2 linked regions of the Drosophila melanogaster genome follow. The protein of the gene in region 1 interacts with the protein of each later gene in a biochemical or structural test. Each region holds a gene or a part of one and is shown in the gene's direction. Other genes may lie near its edges.

What was found. The genes of interacting proteins can lie anywhere in the genome.
Region 2: the proteins of mor (region 1) and Bap60 form a complex in vitro, tested with the Drosophila melanogaster proteins (2 studies listed by BioGRID, with this or other methods).

The regions. Positions count from the first base shown.
Region 1 is NT_033777.3:15,971,306-15,975,058, reverse strand, and holds the start of mor (moira), read left to right. Parts: upstream 1-2,145; 5' UTR 2,146-2,246; coding exon 2,247-2,363; intron 2,364-2,454; coding exon 2,455-2,580; intron 2,581-2,760; coding exon 2,761-3,685; intron 3,686-3,735; coding exon 3,736-3,753.
Region 2 is NC_004354.4:13,157,551-13,161,303, reverse strand, and holds the start of Bap60 (brahma associated protein 60kD), read left to right. Parts: upstream 1-1,795; 5' UTR 1,796-1,930; coding exon 1,931-2,038; intron 2,039-2,106; coding exon 2,107-3,390; intron 3,391-3,450; coding exon 3,451-3,606; 3' UTR 3,607-3,753. Other genes in the region: CG12096 (uncharacterized protein), read right to left, coding at 1-214, 271-1,421. UniProt on the Drosophila melanogaster protein: Involved in the recruitment and site-specific anchoring of the Brahma complex at specific promoter sites.

The DNA.
Region 1 (3,753 bases):
TGCTTGGGGAAATACAAATTTTTCAAATTCAATAAAGTACATATTATGGGCTCAATGGGTCATCTGCTCAAATTCGCCGAAAATGACACATTTCGGCATTGATCGCGCCATATGTTTTTTATATGCGAAGAGTTCAATATTTGCACCATATTTGGCCAATATTGGAACAGCTGTTGCTGCGTATTTTGCACAATGCACGAAATACTGATTGGTATCGAATTAATGGAGCTGAATGACAAACAACGGGCAGCATCATCATCGCAATGCCGCAGTCAAGTTCGGCAAGTAAACTTTGGATATTCAAATGTTCTTTAAGAAACTGTGACAAATGTCGCTGATGTTGCGAACCGCGGGAAAATGGCAAATGCGAAAAAGCTGAAAAGGCCGACCGCCGCCGTTTGAAACTAGTTCAGGTGCCCTACCCCAAGTTGTTGGTAGCAAAAGAGAGAGGGAAGCGGCGACTGCAGTCGATTACGGCAGCGGACCATAAATAAATACAGGTGCTTGTACCGCCTGGCATTGTAGTGCACAGTGAGAAATTCGCTGAAATGCTGTACTGAGATGATTGGTAGTGGTTCAAGGTACGGTAAGATGAGAATTTTTAAATTACTTTGAGATTTGTATACCAAAACATGACGCTCATTTACAATCCAATAATATTTCATGCATCAGAATCGAGTGAGGCTTAAATTTAAGAACTTTTTTCAATAGCTAATATTATGAAACCACATGCTTATTTCTTTCCGTGCACTAAACGTATCGTAATGTGGACGTGGACAGCGAACGCAGGGATTATTGTTAAATGCCACCCACTGAAATCGGAAAAAGAGCCCGATGAATGAACAAATGGACGACACAAATAGCGGCTGGCGAATTGGGCAATGTGTTGCGACTAAAAATACGCGCACTAGAACGGGCTGCCAAGATGAGAGAGACTAGAAGGCGAAGACAAAGAGCTAGTGGTAGACCAAGTTTTTGTAAAGGATTTCCGCTGTTTTGCTGCGTTGGCGCCCACCTCCTCTCTCTCTCCCTCTCTCTCGCTCGCTCTCCTCTCTTATCAATAAACAGAGCCCCTTGGCCCCACTCTATCTATCTCTATCGCACGCACACAAGCAAGCGGAAGCGATAAGTTGCTGCCATATAAATAATGTTGCAATCTAGGATAAGAATTTAGGGGTTCCTTATGTTCCTATTCGCATTCCCACTCCCGATCTCCGAGTGTTATATCACTTACCTTTGGCAATGGTTGCTCTCTCTCGCTCTCTTCCTCTTCGCTTCGCATTTGCTCTTCTCTCCGCACTACGCACTCCTCTTTCTAGTTCCCTTCGTTGTGCGGTAGCAGTCAGCTTATGTGGGGCGCCCACTCACAATTCAACTCATGCGCTCTGCATTTTCTAATTGAATTGTTTGCTCTCAAACTGTACAATCGATGCTGAGTTACTATAGCCGTACGTATGTGTGTGTTTTGGCCCAAGGAAAGGGGTACTGGGTACTGCTTTTCGCCAGCAGCGTCACAAATCAATCCAATCGCTTTTGCTTTCTTCCTACTCACTCGCACTCACGCACCATTGACTTTTTATTTTCACGCACACTGGCACACTCGCGACGGACACACGGATGGGAATCCGGCGTTGCGAATAACGGCAGAATTCGATTTACGGCAATTGTCGTTGGTGGGCGTAGGCAGTCAATGTTTTAACTTAACACTGGGCTTCACGCTGATGCAAACACACTCTGACAGCACAATATTTTTAAGTTTTCGGTTCCCAGCAGCCATGTTAGCGCGATGGAGTCGCATTTATATGTGCGGCCTGACTATCGTGGTGCATCGGTTTTTAGGCGGCGCGAGCGGGACGCCAATACAGCACCACCGCCACTGTGACCAGATGGCATTATTGAATTTAACAGCAATTTTCACATAATAGCTTGTTCCCACTGAGATGTAAAGCTAACTGACACGTTAGCTAGCTATAACTTTTTCGAAGTCTATATAATTCTCTTAACAGCCAATATGTTTTCTTGTTATTTAATATATGGCTTCCACCAACCAATAGGTTTATATATTAACCTAACCTAAGATTAAAATAATGATAACTTTCAGTGGAGATAGCTGAAATATCGATAACGACTGTCACAACAACATCGATTTAAATACCATCTCTATTTTATCAACGCAGCGTTTATTGGCTTTTTGGCGTGGAAAAGTGAAAAGATAATTGACAAAAAGTCCACAAAAGTGCCGCAACATGAACACACTGGGTCCTAAGAAGGACGGAAGTCCGAATATAGACTTTTTCCAGTCGCCGGAGACGCTGCAGGGCTTTGAATCGATTCGCCAGTGGCTGCAGAAGAACTGCAAGAAGGTGCGTGCCAACAACAACGCCGCCGCAAACAAAAATGGCGCTGTCAGGCGGCGAAAAAAAAACGATTTACTCACAACCGTATTTATTGCAGTATTTGGCCCACAGTTCGGAGCCCATCACGAAGGAGTCCTTGGCCCAATTGCTCATTCACTTCCTGCAGTATGTGGAAGCCAAGCTGGGCAAGAACTCAGCGGATCCGCCGGCAACCAGAATTCCGGTTAGTATTGATAGTGCCTGTGGTTGGTGAGGGGGACAGGGTGCCCCGTGTTGCGTGTGTACACGTAAATATTAATCCTCCAATGGCCAAATGTTTGGACCACTAGCTTATATTTTGTATTTAGCTACATGATTTACGTACATTAAAACATATCTCTAATAATCGTACCACCCACACCAGATGCGTTGCTTTCTGGACTTCAAGAGCGGCGGTGGTCTGTGCATCATTTTCTCGACCATGTTCCGTTTCCGGGCCGAGCAACGCGGCAAGAAGTTCGACTTCTCCATTGGCAAGAATCCCACGCGCAAGGATCCCAACATCCAGCTGCTGATCGAGATTGAGCAGGCGTTGGTCGAGGCGGACTTGTATCGCATACCGTACATCTATATTCGGCCGGAGATTGAAAAGGGCTTCGAGGGAAAACTGCGCGAGATCCTGGACAATCGACGGGTAGAGATTGTGTCGGACGAGGAGGACGCCACCCATATCGTCTATCCTGTGGTGGACCCACATCCCGACGAGTATGCGCGGCCCATTTTCAAGCGCGGCGGACATGTGATGCTGCATTGGTACTACTTCCCCGAGTCCTACGATTCTTGGGCTGTGAATAACTTTGACCTGCCCGATCACATTCCGGAGAATCCCGAGTCACCGGCGGAACGTTGGCGTGTGTCTGCATCCTGGATCGTGGACCTGGAGCAGTACAATGAGTGGATGGCCGAGGAGGACTACGAGGTTGACGAACAGGGCAAGAAGAAGACGCACAAACAGCGTATGTCCATAGACGACATCATGTCATTCGGCGACGAGAAGAAGAAGCCTGCTGCCAGCTCGGGCGGAGGCAAGCAGAAGAGACGCCGTTCACCATCTCCCGCCAGTTCGGCATCCACCTCAAAGCCGGGCAAGCGTAAGCGTTCTCCCGCCGTGGTGCACAAAAAGTCGCGCAACGACGATGATGACGAGGACTTAACTCGCGATCTGGATGATCCGCCGGCCGAGCCCAATGTTCAGGAGGTTCATAAGGCAAATGCCGCCTTGCAGTCCACCGCCAGTCCAGCTCCGGGCGGTAAATCTCGTGGCGACAACGACATGATGCCCATTAAAGGTAAGTTTTGTTATCTTATATCTGCATTGACTAAACAAACTGATATCTAGGTGGCACTATGACCGATC
Region 2 (3,753 bases), on another chromosome or scaffold:
GTCCCTGTGCAGATCCTTTTGACGCGAAAGAAGGAACTCCACAGCACCGCCGGTATTCTTTAGAGCTACAATGCCCCAGTTGTACTTACAAATGGTTTTCAAGAACGACAAGGCGGCCATTTGAAGATCGGGGAACGGAGTGTTTATCAGGTCCATAATGATATTAGCATGCGCTCCCCCAGCGAAGCACTCGTACCAGTTTTTACCAATGTTACTGAAAAAGAAGAGAATCATTAGAAGAAAAACTTCAATTATAGAGTTAAGCATTACATGATTTCTGTGGCAGGCGGCGTCTTGAAGTCATAAATCACATCCAGGGAGTTGAGCAGCCTCTTCTTGATGTGCGCCGATAGCTTCTTAGTATGCGAGCCATACTTCTTAAAGGACTTCTCCATGGCCCCGCTAAAGTGCATGTTCAGCAGTATCTTGCCCTGTGGAGTAGTGGCCAAATTGGCAAGCGTATCCATGGCAGTGGGCAGAATACTCTCATCCTCCGATTGAAGCTGCATGAACAAGCAGGCCAGCATGTGCGGGTAGCCGCCAATGATTTTCAGAGGCTGGTATACGGAAATTTTGCCGAAAAACTTCATAATGCTGGGAACGAGCAGGGCGTCTAGCGGATGCTCTTCGACGCGTTGGACCCGATAGCTGATTATATCCAAAACGCGACGACGTTCCATGTAGGACAGACCATGGTTTTGTTCGGCCAGTGGCACTAGGAGCTCCATTACGCTAGCCTGCAATAAAACATCGTCGTTATCCAGTTCGCTGAGAGCCGCATCCAGAATAAATGTAACGTCACTGAGTAAGGTGGCACTTTTCTTGGCCAGGACCACTGCCAATTCGTAGGCGCGACAGCGCACGATCTCATTTTGCTTTAGGAGCTGTACTAGCTTTGCCTGCACATCGGCATTGCTGATTCGCTGAGGCAGCACGATGGATAGGATATTGATGGCCAGAGAGGTACTCTGCGTATCCGGTTGTTTCAGCTCGTCCAAGATGAGGAAAATAAGCTCATTGTTGGGCAGGGTGAGAACCTGACCGACGGTCAACTGGCGAAGCAGCTTCTTGAACAAACTGGCCAACACCTGGGCACGCAAGGCTGGATTCGAGTGGGTCAAGCCACGTCTTAGCAGACTGGACAGCTGCTCGTCGGCGGTGTCCATCGCCAGCTGATCAAGGCAGTGGCACAGCAATTCCAGGGTCACGTCCACGGCCTGATCCTTGGGAACATGGGAATCCGCGGCGGGATTGGCGCAGTCATACAATTGGTCCGTGGTCAGCAGGCGTTCAATTATTTGACGCGGAAGAGCCGCCTCCTTTGCGATGGCTGAGTTCATGGCGGTCAGCGCATCCAGCCTTTGTGGCTTCGACTCCAGAGCCTTTAACTTGGTGACCCACCAATTGTCTTCCATTTCCATTTGTTTTCTGTGTTAAAATGACAGTCGGTTTCAAACCTATCGTTCTTCGATTTCAGAAGACGTTACTTGTCCGAACTTATTGGCGACTATCGATATTGCTTATGTTTATGGCTTGACACTGCAACTATCGAGCGTTTGGGCAAACCAATGTTTTCGATCGATAGTAGCAAGTGCTAGTATATTCCTTATCGTATTGTTTGTTTGTTACAAATGTCTTGAAAGTTTTTAAGTATATTTTCAAAGCCAACTATATAGCTGTAACTCTATTGAAATGAATAACTTCGATTAAAGTGCAAAATGATAGCCGCAGCCCTGCCAAACGTTGTAATATCTATCGCCCAGTCGACCACCACCAGTAATAGTGCATCCCTGTTTTGACGCCATTTTACAGGCGAAATTGTGTGTGTGTTTGACGCGTTGTTGTATTGAAACAAAAAGGCAGAAATTTTCCTTCGTCTGCAAAGGGCAATTGTTTACGGCTGGAAAAAAGGGAGGACTTCGTAGCAAAGATGTCGCAACGCTTTGCACCTGGCCAAGCGCCGGTGCAGTCGCGTTATCAGCCACCACCACCGGCGCCCGGCATGCGTCCCTATCCGCCGCCAGGCGCCTCTTTTCCAGTGAGTTTTCCACGCATTATCCAGCACCTACCGTTTCAATTAAGCATGTACAATCTTATCCGCAACAGCCGCGCGGGTTTCCCCTGCATCCGAACACTACTCAACCTGTTCCCGGCACGGCGAACGTGGCCGGGGTACCGGGAGTTCCTGGAGTACCCGGCGTACCGGGACCATCGCTACTGCAGCGCGCCGCCCAACAGCCGGGCTTTCAGAGCAGCCTTCGCGGTACTGGAGCCGGAGGTGGCGGTGTTGGATCCGGCGGAGGCAGCAAGAGGTCAAATGAATCCCGCAGTTTGGGTGGCGGTGGTAGCAAAAGTGATTTTGCGACGGCCAAAAAGAAAAAGAAGCTGGCCGAAAAGATACTGCCGCAGAAGGTGCGGGATCTGGTGCCCGAATCGCAAGCGTACATGGATCTGCTGACGTTTGAGCGAAAACTGGATGCCACCATAATGCGCAAACGTCTGGACATCCAGGAGGCCCTCAAGCGCCCCATGAAGCAGAAGCGCAAGCTGCGCATCTTCATCTCGAACACATTCTATCCCAGCAAGGAGCCCACAAATGATGGCGAGGAGGGCGCCGTTGCCTCTTGGGAATTGCGGGTGGAGGGTCGCCTGTTAGAGGATGGCAAGGGCGATCCCAATACAAAGATCAAACGCAAGTTTTCGTCGTTTTTCAAGTCGCTGGTTATCGAGCTGGATAAGGAACTGTACGGTCCGGACAACCATCTGGTCGAGTGGCATCGCACTCACACCACCCAGGAGACGGACGGGTTCCAGGTGAAGCGGCCGGGCGATCGCAATGTGCGCTGCACCATCCTCCTGCTGCTTGACTACCAGCCGCTGCAGTTCAAGCTGGACCCGCGACTCGCCAGGTTGCTGGGCGTACACACACAGACCAGGCCGGTGATCATATCCGCCCTGTGGCAGTACATCAAGACGCACAAGCTACAGGATGCCCACGAGCGGGAGTACATCAATTGCGACAAGTATCTGGAGCAGATATTCAGTTGCCAGCGGATGAAGTTTGCCGAGATACCGCAACGCCTCAATCCGCTGCTGCATCCGCCCGATCCGATTGTGATCAATCATTTCATTGAGAGCGGTGCAGAGAACAAGCAGACTGCCTGCTACGACATCGATGTGGAGGTGGATGATACGCTCAAAAACCAGATGAACAGCTTCCTGATGAGCACTGCGAGCCAACAGGAGATCCAGGGGCTGGACACCAAGATCCACGAGACGGTGGACACGATCAACCAGATGAAGACGAACAGGGAGTTCTTCCTAAGCTTCGCCAAGGATCCACAAATGTTTATTCATCGCTGGATCATCAGTGAGACGAGGGATTTGAAGGTTAGTTCTTTTTTTTTCTTTTTTGCCTCATACCGTTGTCTAAACCTTTCGTCCTTTCAGCTGATGACCGATGTAGCTGGCAATCCGGAGGAGGAGCGTCGGGCGGAGTTCTATTACCAGCCATGGACGCACGAGGCCGTTTCGCGCTACTTCTTCACCAAGGTCAACCAGAAGCGGGCCGAATTGGAGCAGGCGCTGGGCATACGCAACGGCTAGGTGAATGATGAGCTGATCATCTCCACCAGCCAATTCGTGGAGTCCACCGTCAAGAGACCTCCATAAACCGTGCGCACGGCAAACTCTTTTTCCTTCGCCAGTTTAGTTTAAGCTTAAAATATTTCCTTTTTTTCCGACAAGCCGAAC